Linked DNA regions of Drosophila melanogaster. The protein of the gene in region 3 interacts with the protein of the main gene of each other region in a pairwise test. Each region holds a gene or a part of one and is shown on either strand. Other genes may lie near its edges.

Evidence for each region.
Region 1: the proteins of Hr3 (region 3) and CG34198 interact in a two-hybrid assay, tested with the Drosophila melanogaster proteins (one large-scale study listed by BioGRID).
Region 2: the proteins of Hr3 (region 3) and mamo interact in a two-hybrid assay, tested with the Drosophila melanogaster proteins (one large-scale study listed by BioGRID).
Region 4: the proteins of Hr3 (region 3) and Crg-1 interact in a two-hybrid assay, tested with the Drosophila melanogaster proteins (one large-scale study listed by BioGRID).

The regions. Positions count from the first base shown.
Region 1 is NT_033778.4:19,681,897-19,684,524, reverse strand, and holds CG34198 (uncharacterized protein), read left to right. Parts: upstream 1-1,547; 5' UTR 1,548-1,625; coding exon 1,626-1,805; 3' UTR 1,806-2,079; downstream 2,080-2,628.
Region 2 is NC_004354.4:13,983,426-13,988,477, reverse strand, and holds the start of mamo (maternal gene required for meiosis), read left to right. Parts: upstream 1-2,035; 5' UTR 2,036-2,107; intron 2,108-2,403; 5' UTR 2,404-3,264; intron 3,265-5,052.
Region 3 is NT_033778.4:10,231,587-10,236,163, forward strand, and holds the start of Hr3 (hormone receptor 3), read right to left. Parts: upstream 3,022-4,577; 5' UTR 2,627-3,021; coding exon of another isoform or gene 2,288-2,626; 5' UTR 1,726-2,287; coding exon of another isoform or gene 1,195-1,725; coding exon 438-1,194; intron 1-437. Other genes in the region: CG12912 (uncharacterized protein), read right to left, coding at 2,288-2,626. UniProt on the Drosophila melanogaster protein: Putative receptor whose ligand is not yet known.
Region 4 is NC_004354.4:3,791,387-3,797,895, reverse strand, and holds Crg-1 (circadianly regulated gene), read right to left. Parts: upstream 4,674-6,509; 5' UTR 4,490-4,673; intron 4,433-4,489; exon of another isoform or gene 3,236-4,432; intron 3,034-3,235; 5' UTR 2,805-3,033; coding exon 2,668-2,804; intron 1,237-2,667; coding exon 1,029-1,236; 3' UTR 557-1,028; downstream 1-556. Other genes in the region: HIP-R (Hsc/Hsp70-interacting protein related), read right to left, coding at 6,228-6,419, 6,494-6,509.

The DNA.
Region 1 (2,628 bases), 9.5 Mb from region 3:
TTGCTTTACACTGGTTAAAACAACAGTGCTCCCACTTCCCCTTTCCGGTTTTAAACAACCCTCCCAATAATAAATCTGCGTGAACCCCATTAACCCTTTAGTTATGTTCTTGGAGTCGGAGGAAAGTAACGACTCTATTAGTAGAGGAATTTAAATTGCCGCCTAGTTCGTTTTTATTATCCTCGAGGAGGGAATGGAACCTCCGGCGTAAGGTGCGCAAGCCAACTAATGACCCTGTATTTATATGACAGGGGAAAGTTTATAAATATTTATGGGGTGCTGCTGTTGCTTACTGTTGTTGCTGGCTTTCATCAAGCTAAAACTCATTTGCTTATTTTAAAATTCCGAGCAGGCGTAGTTTCATTTTTGACACCCGGCATTCGTCGCCGGTCCCCCAAAACCGATGTTCCCCATCCGTTCCTTTTTTAGGGATCTGCCGCACGTTGTTGCCATTGTCACGCACACACGTACTATATTTTTTACGCGCATATCATATTACACCCTCCAAACACACAGGGACATTCCCTTGCCTTAAAGGACCCTCCGACCAACCGACCAGCCAACCAACCAACCCCTTTCCCAACTGGGGATGCTACGGGGATCCATCGAGGTTTGGGGACCCAGTCGAAGTAAATAGAATCACGTACACTAATTATCATCGCCATTGCACGAAGGGCGCTCAAAAATATATATTTTTATTAATTTCAGCAAGGTAACGCCGCTCTAAAAGCCAACCAACCACCTTACACATACCCCATCTGCGGTGTTGGGTGAAAATTTTAATTGAGATCTCCGCTATTTGATAGCAACGAGGAACTATTCGCCCGAAATTGATGTGGCCGCTGATGCTGATGGGGCCACTCGAATGGTTGGTTTTGAATGCAAAATGCGTCGTCGGATATAGTTTTGAGTGCTCAGATAAGGTGGCATATATAATTAGCTGCCCCATTTGGCATTATGCGACATTTGTGTGTTTCAAGTTTCCCCCGATAGTTTGTGTAATGTGAGTCATTCATTTGATAAAGTCATAGGGGAATGAGAGTGCCGAACACGAGTTTAATTAAAGTGCTAATCTGACTCCAAGTAAAAGTAAATAACAAAGAATAGAGTATAAGATAAAAAATATAAAAATATAACCAAATATATAGACATCTTAGGGCTTGGAAAATGATGATGACGTTGTTTGTTGAATTGCAAGAAAAATAAACATCAGATAATACAGTATACAGCAAACCCGATAAAAATTATCAGTATATTATCAGATTTTGCATAACTTGTAAGTTACAAGAAAGGCCTTTGTTTATTTGAACAACAACGCTTGAATGCAGCGAATTCATAAATAAAATCATGTAATAAATAACCTATCGATTTTGTAGTTTTCTATCATAAAGCTGGTTAGACAACCAAGGTGGGACCCCAACGAATCGCTAGGTACTTCACACAAATCGCTGGCCACTGATAAGAGTTCCAGTTGCTTTTATCTATAGATAACACCCATAGCAGAGATTGCCGAGAGCGCGGCTATAATAGCACAATCCCAACAATATGACCAGTGCCGAACTAAACGCGTGCGGTGCAACAAGTACATTTTATAATTGAAAACAACCGGATTACAACCAATCGAAATGGACCACAGAACTCGCGTTGTGGAGGTGGTGCAAGTGCCACCCCAACCCTCGACCACGGTGATCGTGCAACCTCCTCCGCCGCCGCCTCCTCCCAAGGATAACAGTTGCTGTTGTTGTCCTTGCTGCCCCTGTTGCTGTCAGTGTGGCGAATGCTGTTGCTGCTGCACCATCATGTGAAAGACGAAGGTGCCCGCAGGCAAAGGACCTCAGAACCCCTAATTCGTTACGTTAAATTAACTTTCTATGTCTATGGAGGCCGCAAACAATTCACACAGTTTTTTCGTGCAATAAAATTTTACGATTCGTTATAAATAACTCTGTGTAGGGCTCACACTGTGGTTGCCATTTTTTTTGTGGCGAAGGGAACACGCTTGGTAACATATTGTCTTACATAAATCCCAATGCGAAAGTACCACAATATAATAAAAAGCCAAATTTAATAACATCCCACAAAAATTTGTAGTTTTATGATGCGCGAGCAGGGGGACAATCCTTTTTGGCTGCTGGAAATGCTCACCACATCATTTCAAAGTTAGTTCACATTCCGAGTTATTATTTATATGTTTCTCAATTTGCCAATAAAAGCGGAAAATGTGTCAAGAGTGCTGCCAACTCCGGTTCCAGGCCCATGCTGCTCTCATTTGATAAAGGATTTTATGACTCTTGGCTCTTGAATTGCAACCGCAGCGTCGGAGCTCTCGCCCCAAATATTTTGACGAGGGTCCCCAAAGTGGGACATTATGTGGGCGGGAGTCGGACAACGAATGCGAGTGCCTTTTTCCAAAGTTAGTAGTCTGCTCATTTAACATAATTTCTGACTCGCAATGCTTCTTTGCCAAACGTTTATCTAAAGCCCAAACCTTATTACTCATACGCACTGTGATAATTCAGACGGAAAACCGTGGTATTGATATCGAAGTGAACAGGCTGAAAAAATCCCATAGTTTAACAGAGTAGGAAAATTTAACACTTTTAACCTGTTTTCCAAGTTTAATATAAA
Region 2 (5,052 bases), on a different chromosome or scaffold from region 3:
AAAAATCCAACATCGCGCCGCGTAACTTCATTATTTTTTTCAAGTGTTTTTAAGAATTTTTTTTTTTTTGAATATAAAATATTGCAAGTGAAAGCAGCAGCAACTATTTTTGATTTTAGCAAATTGTGCTGTTTCTCAAAAAGTGTTTATGACAAAGTGCTAGAAAAACCGGAAGGACCACATATATATAATATACAAAAAATTACAGAATTTTCGTATTTTGTGTTTGTTGAGGATCACTTAAGTGCCCCAAAAGGTCATGTGTTTTTCTAAGGATTTTAATCATGCATAGCCAAGTTAAAAGTCTTAAGAGGGAAACTAGTGATGTTGCGTTTTCCAAGGACAACTAAAGTCATTCAAAGGATATTGTTTATCATTTCGAAAATGCATAATGTTTCATGTTTCATTTGTACACCATTTTATGTTTGAATTTGTGTGCTTACTCATTCTTATTTACAAGTGTTGACAAGTTCTAATAATAACATTTCGAAACCACGAAAGGAAAGATTCAAATATCCAGTGTTTTGAAGGATTGAAACTATGTTTTTAAGAAGTTAGTTGCAGTTATAAAGAATGTCAATTCCGAATTAAGTGTATAAATATTTTAGGCAAATTTTTAGTAGCTAGGTAGTGGCTATTTATTGCAACAGGCCCTCAAAAAATAATATGTAACTAATATTGTAATGTGTTTTCTTAAATTGTCACTTGTCCTGAATTTGTGAATTGATTAACAAGTGCCAAAAAAAAAACCCAAAAAAAAAAAAAAAAAAAAAAACTGCAGCTTAGACATCAGATTAGAAATTGCCGACGGAATATCGCAGAGCTCTGTTGAAAATATTCTGAGCGGAATTTTTAGTGCATATTAGAACTCTAAATATTAAATGATATTTCAATGATTTTTTTACTGTTTCTTTTTTATGTCAATTTGGCAATTGCATTGTATTATTTAAAGTTTAAATATTTCCATACTTCAATTTTAAATGTATTTGTATTATACTCAACTAAAACTTTTAAGGTTTTAGTGTGAAAGTAATTGTAATTAAAGATTACAATTTTCGATTTTAAATTTTGTATGAAAATGAATTAAAACGAATTGCCACATTTTTCATTTAGCCTTATTCATGTGCTTTACTACTAATTTTGTGGCATGCACATAAAATCGCACTTTTTTTTAAACCAGTGAATAAACATAATTATTTAAAAATGATAAGTTCATCATTTTTGTTGGAAAATGTATTAAAACTTGTTAGATTTATTAAAGCAAATTTATTGAATTTAATAAAAAATTTAAAAGAATAGTTTCGAACCTTGTTTTTTTTGTTTTGTTGAATTTATCAGTTTTTAATATTTTTCTTGCAAACCATTAAAATCGATCAGATTGCATTCCGTTTTAAGATTGATAAAAATGATAGTTTCAATTTTATTTGAGTGATTTGAGGGCATATATGGCATTATTAAAAATAATGCACATTCAACTAGAGTTCTTGTCCTGCGTATTAATTTGTTGGACCTTTCTTTGTCCTTTTATTTGAACCCCAAAAACTTTCGGGAAACATATGGCAGACGGTTGTGTGAGTGTTTGTGGGTTTTATTTTCTGAATGATATGTTGCTGCACTCGTACAGATTACGCATACGCTGCGTTGTCCACTGCGAAGAGAGAGAGAGAGCGAGCGAGCGAAAAGAGAGAGCGCCGCACCGTGCACTTTCTGCGATTGAGTGAAAGAGAAAAAGTGACTCGCGGTGGGAAACGAGGTGCATTTTGGCTCAGCTTTGCTGCGTTTTTCACCGACGCTGCTCTTTTACGAAGCGCGTGCGGCGCTCTTAGTACAAGCACACACCACTCACACACACACACACACACACACACACATACGTATGGACTACGATGTGCAGGGGCACCCACACATAGGCGAACGGGAATCACTCGGCAATACGAAGCAACGCAGTCGCAGTCGCAGCGCTGCCGCCGCGCTGCCAACGCCAATGCTCTTTGGGTTTTGGGCTTTTGGCCAGGCTTTTTGGTTTTGCAGCTCTGTCGGCTTTGGACTTTCGCAGAGATTTCACACGCGATGCGATTGCAGTTCTTGCAGACACTTTCATACGTTCGTTCGTGTTTATTTTCGTTAGCCTTAGCCGCAAACAGCAAATAAATTACATTTTGCCAAGCGACAAAATATTCAAATATTTTACGAATATTTGTACGGAAAATATTTTGGATTCTTTATCGTTTATTTTTTTTTTCTTCTTTATTTTTGTGCGCGGTTTTTGGAAACACGAATTTCGAGTAATAGGTCCTTTTGCATTCATTTCTGTCCTTCATTCATGAAATTAATTTTTTTTTGAATTTTTTTCAAGTGCTCTGCGTCGGTTTCTAACACTAGTTTTTGTATACTTTTTCCCAGGCATAAACTTAAACACAACAAAAATGTTTTATAAATATATTATTATAAAATAAAAAATTACAAATAAATGAAGTAACAGCGAAAGTTTTTAACAAAGTCAACAACAACAACAACCACACAAAAGAAGCAAGAAAATCCTTAAGCGTAATTTTTTTGTATTTCAACAATGCAACAACCACAACAACTACATCTACAACAGGGGCAACAACTGCAGCAGCAACAACAACCGCAAGAACAACAACATCAACAACAACCACAACAACCAAATGAAACAACAACTCAAGGCGGCTTTGCACGTGTGTGTGTGTGAACAACAACAACAACAACAACAACAACAACAAAAGCGACAACAAGCTAAAAACTTTAGAAAAACTTACAACAACTTTTTTGGACTTGGAGCATTTTTCGAAATCTAAACAGCCTAAAGTAAATACCGAAAAATATCCCGCAATTATTTTGTGTTTTTTTCCCCATCTCAAAAACTACAATTTCATTTCAAATAGAAAAACGCAAACAATTTAAACAAAAAACATGCTCTAAGGTTGTGTTAAAGGAAATTAAACCTATTTTGCACCTTAATTCTTTGATTTCAACAAAATTACAACAATTTTTTCCAAGTGAAAAATTTGTGCGAACCGCAGAAAACAGAAAAGTGGAAATAAACAAAAATCAAGTCAAATTTAATTCAATGCAAACAGCAAGTGCAACAACAACATCAACAACAACAACAACCACAAGAAATTCACCCAAAACATCAACAACAACAAAACCAACAACTGCGGCAAAGGCATCAACAACAACACCAACAACAAGAAGAAGAACGAGAACAAAGTTTTGAAACTGCGGTGTTTGGCGTTTATGGTGAGTTTTTTTTTACTTTTCAAACAATTTTTCAAATCATCGAATCATTTATTTGGCACTTCGTTTGCGATATTATTTTATCAAGTGTTTGCGTGGGTCAAAAATCGAACACGAAGTGCTACTCGATAAGAAAAGTGTTAGGTTTGGATGAATTTTGGCCATAAATGGATTAATAGCAAAAGTGTGAAGTGAGAGGAATGGAAAGTGTTGGACAAAAACTTGTTTGCGATTAATTTTGTCCATAGAAGCCTTGAATAAACTATAACTTTGAATTGCAAAAAAAAAACGGCGTTAATTAAATAAAATATTTGCAAAATTACTAGCCATTGGTGACTTAACTAAAATAAGGTGCTAAACAATTTAACTTTGATAAGAAATACACTTTAGGGTCATTGCTACTATAAATGTATGCTAGATATAATATTTTTGATTATATATATATAATATTTGTATATTATTATTCAGACAGACTTCAGTTATTGCTGATTATAAAGAACTTAATCGTAATGCCTATAGTTAAGTGTGAAGATAAACATAAGTTAGTTGATATAAAAAATGGCAATAAAACACCCAGACGTATACATAACTCTATTCACGAATCAGTTTTGTTACCCTTTCCATATATATATATATATATATATATATATATATTTTTTTTTTATCAACCGCTCTTTTGGCGACGACTGTAGCACTTCCCGTTTGAACCGGATGCGCTTTTGGAAAAATTTGCTGAATGTTATCAAATATGTAAAATGGAAATGCACTTTTCTGGGCCACAACAACTGGCAAAAAATAAAATGCATATATCGACAAAGCAAAAAGAGACAAAAAAAAAAAAATAAAGAAATAAATAGTAAGCCAATCAATAAATTGGCAAAAAGAAAAGTAAGTTAACTAAATGCTTGGTCAGTTTTAGAAGTCGCCAGCGAATAGAATCGGCAAGAAGAAAATTCTCGAACTTCCGGCGCCACCAGAGGCGCCAACTAATCATCGCTTTTTTTTTTTGTTTAGCTTAGTTAATCAGGAAATTGGGCAAAAAAAAAAAAACGCTAAAGAAATTGGAAAACTTTAAGATTCAACTTGAATAGATGACATGTTTTGTTAGCACTATAGAATGTTATAAACGTAGTGTAAGTTATGTTAGATTTTATTTTAAGTATTATAAGCAATATATCTCCTTTATATAGCTACGATTTGAAACGAATATAATTTATTAAGCTTATATAAGTGTTTTGTTCTAAAATTAAAGTGGATTTTTTTTTTTAAGAGAAGTCTGCACTTCATGTAATTAAAAACCCACAACACAAGACCTTAACAAGACGAAACGCACTGTCTAGCTTCTTAGCGCGCCTTATCCTCATTCCCATCGCTGTCTCTCGACTTTATCGCAATTATAAATATTTATAAGAAATGAGTCCATACAAACGAATATCATTCCCATTGCACTTGGTGGGGGGTTTTTGAGCGCCGTTTTAATGGCTTCTTTCGTGTTTTTTTTTTTTTTGTTTCTGTTTTGTTTTTCAAATAGTATTATTTTTTATTATTTTTTGCCATACTGCGCAGACGCAACAAGATTTGCAAAATATTCTAATATCATATAGTATATCATGTTTTATTTTTTGACATTTCCATTTCGTTTAATTTCAGTTACATTTTCGTTTGCAAAAATTCATTACAATTCGCGTAATTGCGTTGCCTTTGTGTGGATATTGTTCGTGTGTTTTTCTTCTCTTTTTTTATGTGCAACAGTTTTCGCTCGTGTGTTTTTTTCTAATTATTTTCCGCGAG
Region 3 (4,577 bases):
TGCTTGCGCAATGGGCGAGCGTTCATTTGCATAGCTCGGATTCTGGCGTGGAATGGGGAAGGGGGAAGGGGGAGGGGATCTGGGGGATATGGGTGCGATTATCTGAACCATCGCTGATCGTTGGTGGTCGCTCTGGGCGAGTGCTCACTGTGCTGTGGTTAGCCGGCGGTTGTTCGCAACAAGTGGAATTCTTGCCGAGTTTTCTGGGGTGCGAACTCATCACTCGCGGGAATCCTTGACTTAAGGTCTTTCAAATATTTGCTACAATCACTCACAATGGCTTAGTAAAATTCTTTAACGTTTGTTAAGAGCAAGAGTGACGAAGAACATTGCTTTTGCATATGAAGATATATTATTGGTAGATATATTATCGTCTCGAACAGTATATATATTCCCAAATTGACTAAAATATAATTGAGAGTTGCACTGGAACATACCTGTCATGGCTCCATTACTGCCGCTGCTGCTGCTGCTGTGCTCTCTGCTGTTTTCTCTGGCCGATGTTGCTGTTGCACTTGCTGTTGCTGCTGATGTTGCTGCGGCTGCAGATGTTGCTGATGTTGCTGTTGTTGTGGCAGCGGGCTTGTGAGTCGTGAGCGGTGGCATTGGTGGAGGAGTTCGCTCCTTTGTGCGTTTTAGGGAGCCCTCCTGGCTGGTATTGCTGGCCATGTTCTTGCACACGGAACTGATATTGCTGATGCTGCTAAAGCTGCTGAGACTGCTGAAGCTGCTGGAGCGTGCCAATGCCGGTGGATCCGATAGGAATTTCACCTGCTGCTGCTGCTGTTGCTGCTGCTGTTGTGGCCGCGACTGTGCTGGCCTGGTGGTCGCCAATCTCTTGGGCGCCGGAGGCTCTGGTTCAGTCTCATCCTCGGGCTCGCCCTCCGCCTTTAGCTCAGCCTCGAGCTCGTTTTCCAAGTCCGGCTGCACGGTGGCTATGATGGTGCCGTCCTCGTTGGCCTGCTCGAAGCAGACGTCCAGCAAGGTGGCTCCGCCACCGGCCTGTAGGCCGGCAATATCCTTGAGATCTATCCAACTGGCGCCCAGCTTATCAGCATCGCTGAGGGGCAAGCTCAGTACTCTCGTGTCGCCCTCGTCCACGATGTGGAAGGATTGCGTGGGCTCGATCTTGACGATGATGGGCTGGTTGGCCAGGATTTGGGCGGGTGGCGCACTGCCCAGCAAACTGGCCATGTTCTCCTCCTCCTCGTCGGCGGCCTCCAGTTCGCTGAGCTGCTGCTCGATCTGCAGGTAGGTATTACTGCTGGAGTTGGCTGCCACACCCGACTGCTGCTTCAGTACGTCCAGTTTGAGGACCGTGCACTTGTCGGTCTGCTGGTACTGGTGCTGCTGCTGGGGTCGTGGCAGCAGTGTCAGGGCGGGAGCACCCGATGTTCCAGAACCTTCCGTTATAAAGGCCAATGGTGGAGACGTGCCCGTGGATTTGGTGGACACACTCCGCGACGACTGGATCAGCTGGGGCAGTGCTGGCGGTGCTCCTCCACTGCCGCCAGTGCCAGAGGCACCGCTACCACTGCGTGCCACAATGGTGGTCGAGACGGGCAGCGGGATTATTGAGATGGAGGGCACCTTGCTGCGCAGATTGGCCACCGCCGCTGCTGTGGCGGCATCGGTGCCGATATACGTTGGACCACCGCTGGAGGATTTGCTGCCGCCGGCGGGCTTGGCCTGCTGTATCAGCAGGAGATCTCTGGGCCTATCCGTTGTGGCGGCCGTTTACTCACAAAGGCTCTCAAATGTCCGGATTTCGCCTTCGCTTAAAACACTAAACACTCACACTTTCACTTGGTTCATTGCTTGAATTTCTTGGGTTCTTTTATGCTTGTATTTGTTACTTGTTATATTTGGTTTTTTTTTTGGGTGTAGAAGCACAACATCGAAATAAATTGAAAATCAGCCTTACGAAAGTGCACTTAAAAAATTGTCGACTAAACAAGTTCATTCATACTGCATTGCCTCGATTGCTTGTCAATTGGTGTAGATACCCCAGAGGGGGTGGCCTAATGAGGGGCTGAGGGTTCGAAAAGGGGGGGGAGTGGGCTTTTAGGGGCGTAGTGGGGTCTGCAGATGCACCTGTGCGTTTCGTTTCGTTCGGTTCGTTTTTGGTTCGTTTTGCAGCTGGAAATACGCGTCGTATACTTAACGTAACTTTGTGCGATGCATAGAGTTCGACATTCCGATTAATGCTTTCCACTTGTGTTGGTTTTTGAGTAAATTTTGGGCTAGTCTTTTCGGTTTTGGGTTGTGTTTAACTTTACTTTACTGCCTAATATGCAGCAATTGTTGCTGTGCTTCGGTGACTGAGCCTGCTTCTGTATCTGTGTCCTCCGCGTTTGCCTGTGGTCGTTGTCATCCTCGTTTTCGTATCCTGCTGCTGCTGCTGTTGTTGCTGCTGTTGCTGTTGCTGCTGCTGCTGCTGCTGATGTTGCTGCTGCTGTTGCTGTTGCTGCTGCACATGCAACGCGTCGCCGCTGGATGGCTGCAAGGCTGCGCTGCAGCATTCGGTAGTGTCAGCGCCATTGGAACCCGACCACGTCAAAACAGTTGGAAGTGTGCCTCTGGATCTGGATGTGGATGTGCCAATGTTGCTGTTGATTTCCCACATCGCGGCACGCAACCCTATGCAACCACCACCCCAAGCACCACCTCCATCCTCACGGCAACAACAACCACCAGCTGTGTGGAAAGTGGCTTTAATAATCGATTTTTCAGCGGCACACTTGCGAATCAATATTTGGCAAACAGGAGCAGCGCTGCAGCTTTCCCTTTTCCTAATCGGATTTCTATCCCTTTAGCTTCGATATTAATTAAGCACTGTGTTCAATTTTGTTTCACTTTTGGCTGGTTTGTGGATTTCACTGTTTCAATATTTGTATTTTCACTTTCAGAGATTTGTGGCTAAATGCACCGCGCGCGTTTTTTTGTGACTCCTTTTTGTCGATTTTGCGAAGCAGCTGACCGGAGCTGCGTCCTTTACAGGAATGTGTCCCAAATTCGAGTGCCACAAACACAGTTCGTTCTGCCGCTGCACAAACTTTCCGTTTCGTGGGGGTTGCGCCTCAGTTTCTGGGAAAAGGAAAATCCGAGTGTGTGTGTGCGTGTGTATCCGCATGCAAGTTGAAAAATGGGACTCGCTGCGAACTGCTGCGAAAATAGGGTTAGTAGGCATAATGCCAAGTGCATAGCCAGGAAAAACTGGAAGCCACAACACGAAGGAAAACGAGCACAGTCGAACGAACGTTTGTTGCGCAGCTTTTCCACCCCTAAAACTCTCAGTGGGGGCGGGGGCGGGCTAAGGGCCAGGAAAATTCCCGTCGTGGTGATAAAGCGTCATGGGAAATTTCTGCACGCTCGAGGTGGAAATTCCAAGGGCGGAAAATTTTGAATGAGTCTTCTGGGCTTGACTTTCGACATTTACTCAACTAACAACTGAAACTGCCATTTATAATATTTGTAAAAATTCATAAAATTAGTTAATAAAAAATCAACTATGATATATATTTTTATATATACATGTTTAAAAAGAAACATATTTGGTAAACAAATATTTTCTTTTGTTATGCATTTAAATAGTGCATAAGATATGTAATTCATGGTTAACCCCTCGTTTATAAACCAAATTTGTAGAACACGGATAAACTATAGATGCAGTAGTAAGTCATTATATATACGAAGTCTTGTCTACTACAAGCTGTGTAAAGATAATATACATGTATTTATAATTATATAGTATGTATATAAAAAGCTTTAAAGTGTCATAAATAGTATGAACATTGGCACATATATATTTTTAAATGAGTCATAAAATGCGCATTTTTAGTGCTCTCAAAACTACAAGAATGCACTAAAATGTTAAGCTCGCTAATTAAAGCTGCCAATGCCAATTTGGGCAAAAACCAATCAAAGAACAGCTATGACCACAATGACCCTCGAGTCAAGAATGCCCAAAAAAAGGGGCGAACCGAGAACATCTCGGCCATTGGCCAACAGACGGGGCAAATTTGAACTAATCGCCCAACTGGGCCCCAGCCCAACCGATCGGATCGAGCCATCATTAGGGCGGGGAGGGGAGTGGGGGAATTGGGTGGCATAGGGCCAAACTTCTTATAGAGGAGGGTCGATGATGGCGAACGGAGCGACCACCGTTAGGACGGATTCGGATTCTGATTCGGAGCCAAGACTCAAGCATCGGCATTAATATTTCATGTTTTTCCGTTGCTTAAATCATGTTAGATTTATTCTGCGCCGCATTCAGCTGCCGCTTGCGCAACAACAATCAAGAGCTAACTGGTAACTGGTAACTGGTTGGTGGTTCTGCCAACCAGCTTACTAGCAGCTTGCAGCTAAACTTGGCTAAAACACCGTTGGTTCTAACGTGAACGCGAAATGTGTGCCTCACCGTTGTAAACTTCTTGCGGCGGCTGTTGCCTCATCATCTATTGCAAGTCTGTGCCGATTCTAACCTGTTTTCTCTGCAGAAACTCTCCGAAAAAGTCCCGTAAGAAAGTCCCAGTTATTCAAGAGGAAAAACCTGTTACACGCAACTGGCTCAGAGA
Region 4 (6,509 bases), on a different chromosome or scaffold from region 3:
CAAAGATGCAGTTGCTCAAGCACCTGCGAAACCATAGCGGCAGGCAGTGCTACAGATGTCTTCAGTGCAAACGTTACTTCAAATCCACCAGCTATCTTTTGGTACATCGAAAAAAAGAGCAGAGCTGTGCCAAGGCGAAAGTGGTCGCCGTATTTAGCAGACACAACGGGTTGCCCAATGGAATAAGTGATCACAGACGTTGCTCAGTTTGTTTGAAGCGTTTCAGCAGCGAGCGGGTATGCCTGCGGCACCGGAGACAGTGCATCCTCGGCCATTATAGACGGCTGTCCAAGGCCCTCGAGAAGGAGCTATGAACAGCGTATACAAATCTTGACCTAGCTGGTATTTATTAGTATATAGAAATCGATAACAATAAAGCGAATAGATCCTTCGAAAAAATTCCGCCACATACCCCAAATTTAAATACATATCCATATACATACATATTCACATAGGATCGAGAATGTAATGAGCCACAATTAAGTCCATAACTATTGCTGAAGAAATTTATGTGTGCCCTCATTGATATTAAAACAGTTTTCTGTTAATCATTTTAGTATTTTTTTATATTCAATGTTTCGTCAAGTTTTTTGTTTGCTTTTGTCTTTGGTTTTCTTGATTTTTATTCTAGAATTATGTTTTTTTGCTGATTTTTTTCATTATTTTAAACTTAAATGAAGCATAGATTATTTATATAAATATTTACAATGCTCTTTGCGATTATTAGGGAGTTGTTGCCGCTGCTTTTTTACTCTTGTTTTGCTTGCCGTCCTTATCTGCGTCCATTTTTGTTTCTTTCTATCGCGATATTTTCCATTTTTTATACTTATACTCTAAAAACTAATTTCGGGTTACTTTTCATTCATTTTGTTTTGCGTAGACTTAAGAAAAAAATGTTTTTCGCTTTTGGATGAATCTTCACTCCCCGCTCAAACTCTTCTGTTCCTCTTCTGATCTTTCTCTTTAAGGTTTTTTTTGTCTGGCTGTAGGCAGATTTCATATCGGTTTATTATATATTATTGAAACATTTAGCTTGGTAGTTCATGTTTTTTTTTTGCAGCTTTTATATACATATCTACATTTATATGTCGCAGATCATTTAAATGTAACGACATTTCTAGTAATTGCGTGTTTCTGCTTGGCGCGCCATGCAGGCGTCTTTTCTGTTCTTTTGATGCGCGACAGAGAACCGTTAACGTAGTCTGGTCGATGGTAGGAGCGGGAGGAAGTAGATGCCTGCAGGAATAACGGAAGCGTACAGAAAAATGCGGTTAAATGCATTAGTGTTTATGTATGTGGACTGGAGTGAGTCTCCAAAATGTGTTGGTAATGCGTGTAGAGTTAAGAACTACGTATAATTCTGATTTTGTGAAAAGAGATTGGGTCAGTCAGTGATCGATCATTGCGAAGAACAGACATGTCTCGCTTACGCGCCAGAAAACGTTGCGCAGACAACGAGAATAGTGAAGAGGAAGAAGGGCGTCCTGATGACTCTTCGACATATATGTATATATTTCTAATAATACGCCTTGGATGTTAATATTTCATCCCCCCGTTTGCCAACCAACCAGCCAACTGGGGGCCGCAAGGTAAATTTGTGAATGGTTAATGAAAAGTTACCCAAACTGCACGCCCATTCGAACTGAGCCGAAACTTCTTGGACTGTCGATTCATTACATTAAATGCGGGGGGTGGTGAGGAGTGCAGGTGCGCAGGTGATGGGCAAATGTCATAAATTATTTGCCTCCCCCTCCCGAGCGGGGTGGTTTTATATGTAAATTTATATAGGATATTTACACGCAACATTCGCGGCTGCGGCATCAAATATTTACACTGATTTCGGGTATTCGAAGACAACAAAAGAAATGAATAACAAAAAACAGGTGGGGAGCAGTGGGGGCGAAAGGCCAAATTGATGAACCTTGAAAAATGTGTTAAAACTTATTGTTTTCTTCGTCAGCGATTCTTGACGAATTGATATTTTCGAACTCAGCGTGGTAAAAATGGAATTTTGAAAAATTTTAACGTTCTGCGAAAAGTAGGTAATGATTAACTAGTTTTGAATACTTCTGAATGATTAACTAATACGGAATGAGCCGTATTAAGCACTTATCATCATAAAACTAAGAATTTGGTATACTCAACAATTGCCACTAAACAATCCAAAAGCCAAAATTAATGGGTCGCTATCCGTATAAGCTGATAATACCAGGGAATACCAGTTTGGCATAAACAACTTGTTGAACAACCCGCAAATAGTTTGGTTAACAACATTTTTGTTTTTCACCTTATGCGAGCGAAGGCAAGGTAAATGCAATTTTCTAGCCCATAAATTTGTTTGAGCTGCTAATTTTTTTGCACTTTCATTGTGGCCGCTATCGTTTGTTTGCCGGTGTGTGGCACTTTGTTTAAGTTTGGTTACCAACCAAGGAACGAAAACATGGTAAGAAGAAATACCCAGCGAACGAGGAAATCAAATGGCCAACGGGAATAGCCAAAACGAAATGCTTGAGATTTGTTTAATTGCATCCTGGCTGGCGTTTTTTGCCATCAACAAAAATAACAGGATGGCTAGCACTCCACAAAATGGCGTCCATCCGAATGGGCGGTGGGCGGTGGGCGGTGGTGGTTGATTCAGTGGGTGGTTCGATGGGGGACAGTACTTACGATATCCATTGGTATATGCCCGACACAGTCAGCTCACCCTTATCCTCGAGGGCGTATTCGATGAGCTCCGTGTAGGTGAACGGTGGTTTCTTTGGCCTGCTTGTTTTGCGGTGGTTGGTTTTGGATTTCAGCCACATTGGTGGGTGGTTCGGTGGTTTAGTGGATCGGCGATTGCGTGGTTGGGGAAATTCGTTGGCGGCATCGATTGGAGGACGGCATTGAAAGCAAATGGAGAACGCACAAATCAGAGAGAAAGATTGTTAAATATATTAAAAGAAAAGAGAGAATGCTATAGTCGAGTTACCCGACTATCAGATACCCGTTACTCAGCTAGTGTGAATGCGAACGCGAAATTTAATCATCTTTCTGGGATGTCGATAGATATTGGGGAATAAAATGAGAAAAAAATTTAAAAATTGATCCTGATCAACAAATTTTATATATACTTCAACGAATCTAGTATACCCTTTTCCTCTATGAGTAACGGGAATAAATAGATGTTTCAAATAAATTAGGAAATATAGAATTTAACCGTTGACACTGTCATATTGTTTTATTTCTGCAACACTTACGCCTTGGACGAAGTATCCTCGACGACAACGTGCTCGGCAACTATCATGTCGTTACCGTCCAACTCCGAGGTGACCTCCATCACCAGCTCCTCGAACTTGCGCCCAGTCTTGGTGGAGCCCACGCCGGCCACGCCCCCCGCTGCTGAAGCGCCAGCGGAGCCGTTGCCTCCTCCTCCTAATGCCGCTGGCATCGCTGCACTGGAGCAACTCTTGGGCGATCTGGCCCGTTGATCCACCAAACCCGATCCGAGAGATTGATTTGTGCTTATGGCGGATGCGGATGCCGATGCGGCGGAGGCGGATGATGGCGAGGAGGAACTGCAGGGCGACGTGGCGATCGGCACTGCCGTCGATGGTGGATGAGGTGGAGCACTGCCCTCCGGCAGATTGACCGCCTGTCCGTGAATCTGATTGTGCGGCGATAGGTGCGGGAACTCGTCGAACTTAAAGTTGAGCAGCCACGAGAGGTTCTTATCCTCGAAGTCCGCCTCGGTGGCTTCATTGGCCCCACTAACCGAACCGGATGAGGTGCGTCGGCCCGCCGACTGTATCCGCTGCTTCTGCGGCACCAGAAAATGTTGATTCTGATGTGGGTTCTGACCAGGAATGACATTCTGTTGTGTTGACTGCTGCGTATGATTGGATGCATTTTGAGCTGATGATGATGTTGGTGGTGGCGGCGGCAAAGTGGCATTCAATTGCCCCAGTTCCGCCTGCAGGCCGGAGTTATAACGATGATCCAGCTCCAGCAGCTCGCCACCGGTCCAACCACCATTGTCATCCAATGGAGCACTCGATGGTGGACAGTGCGAATAGGCGACGGCGGGCACCAGAAGACTGCTCTCATAGGAAAAGAGATCGTTGATGAAGGACGTCGAGGATTGGGCGGGTGCAGCGTTGGTTGGCGGATTACTAGGTGGCTGTTCCAGCTGCAGGTGGAAGTGCAGGTCCCCGGCATCGTAGTCCAAGTGTCGCTTCTTCCAGGGATTTGCCCCGATGGGCTCGTAGTCGTGGCCCAAAGCCAAATCCTCCTGATCGTCGAACTTGCGCTTAAGAAAGTTGTAATCACCGGGAAGATTAGTGTTCGTATCATTTTGATTGGTGGTACTGCTATTGTTGTTGTTGTTGCTGCTGGGATTCGATGTTGGGCTGGATGCACTGCCCGTTCCATTGACGGGCATGTTGACAATCATGATGTCCCGGCTGTCTCGATTTCAATCACGTTAGCCAAGCCAAAACACACAACTCACACTTGGCGAAAAAGAGCAAGTAACACGAAAAAAAAATTGACCTGCTTCGTCTGGGGGACGGACGAAGGATATTTCTTTCTTTATTTCTCAATCTTTAGTTTAGTCAAGAGCGGAAATTGGGAATTAGTCGGTCCGCACTGGCTAACTGGCTAACCGTCTCGCGCTGCGACTGGCCACGGAATGCGATGGGCCGCCAGGAGTCCAGACCAACTTGGCTGTTGGGCTGAGCTGCGCCTGCGCCCTCCTGCCACTCATCCACATTCACATCCACCACCCCGGACACCCAGTCATGCACATAAGCGGTACGTCTGCAGTCGATGGAAAGAGGAGCCGTACCTGTGATGGCGCAGGTACAATAAAATAATGCAGACACTTCACTGTATTATATTTGACATATTCGTTGATATATGTTTCAACCATATCACCTGCTTATAAATATATATTTATAATTTATATATAAATATGAAAAATATCAAAGCAAAGAAAGCTGTCATAGCTTCTAAATAATCAGTCGTGTACGCTGTACCAAGCTGAGTTTAAAAAGCAATCAAGTACCTCTAGGTACAACCACCCAGGTCTTGGCATCGCTGAGCCCAGGTCATGTGCCGCTGGTTCTGCTTGGTCGCTCGATTTGGCCATAATCGAACATGTGCGCCAAGCTGTCCGTTAGCCAATTTCGCGCTGACATGGGGCGGGGTGCGGTAGATAGGTTCTGGATCCAGGGTGCAGGGTGCAGCCATTGAAGCGTCTAATCGACGCTTTCATACACCATGCGTACCCAATGTCCTTCATACAAAGTGAGCAACCCACACAGGTGATGCGCCGGATAGTTTAAGGGACTACGGCTCCATCTGTCCAACCCGCTCGAAAAAAAAGCAAAAGTATCTCCCCTTTTACCCGTTTACCAAAAAATATGGACATTAGCAATTCGGGTTCTTGTTGATTCGTTTATTTATTTCCATTGATCACTGGTTGAATGAGTGTGTGAATGAGTGTGTGAATGAATGGGCGATTGCTTTCATGTTGGGGGGCTAAATGCATTTGCTTACAATATGATTTAAATCCTACTCAGTACAATTTTGTTTGACCAAATGATGCGATTAGTTTTATCCGTTTCTTCGTTCTCGGTAATTTAGGCTAATATTATTGAACATATATATATTTTTTATTTTCTTTTGGTTGTTTCTCGAGCTTTAGTTCAACTAGATCGATCGGCACCCTTGAATCTGACTTGACGTCTAAACATTTATGTTTTGTTCGTCACAGGACAATCTTTTGATTTACCTGTGAACTGCAAATGTGATAAGTTTTTAAGCATATTCTAGCTCCTTTGTATAGTTTCATTTGCCACTTTAATGGCCGCAAGTATGCTTTTCAATAATATGTGAAGAAGCGTCTCCAGCATCTCCAACATCTCTTTCTTCTCGATTTAAATAAATGTTGCTTATTCTTCTGACTGCTTGTAGTATTTTGAATATTTGAATTTTCTCCATTGTCGCCCGTTCTTTTACGTGTTGGTTAAGTTAAAGCTTAGGAAATGTTTGTTTTTTCTCAGCTGCAAAAATGTGTAAGGCAGCCGCTTTCCCTTTTGTTTTTCGTGTAGTCCATCTTCTTCACCGCACTCTGTTGCTTTCTCTTTCTTTGTTGTTTTGTAATCTCGCTCGATTTCGTGTAATTGGTTGTTAACTTCTTTTTATCGACGCATGTTTCAGTCTTACTACTGCCCCATTTCTAAACCTTAGTCCAAACCGTCATCGACGAAGTCGGCGGAGTCCTTTTTAGGCTTAGGCTCGCTCGGCTTTCCAGCCTTTTCACCCGCTTGGCCAAAGGCAGCACCCACATCTCCACCGGGCACAATCTTCTTGATAAGGTTGTATATCTTCGGGTTCGACGCGTACTTTGTGATGTTACCCGGATTTGACAAAATGTCCTACGAAAGTTAATAAATAACAACGATATGATTACTGCATTTGTATTAGAAATAGAAAAGTAGTATTCACGAACCTGAATGGCGGCTGAC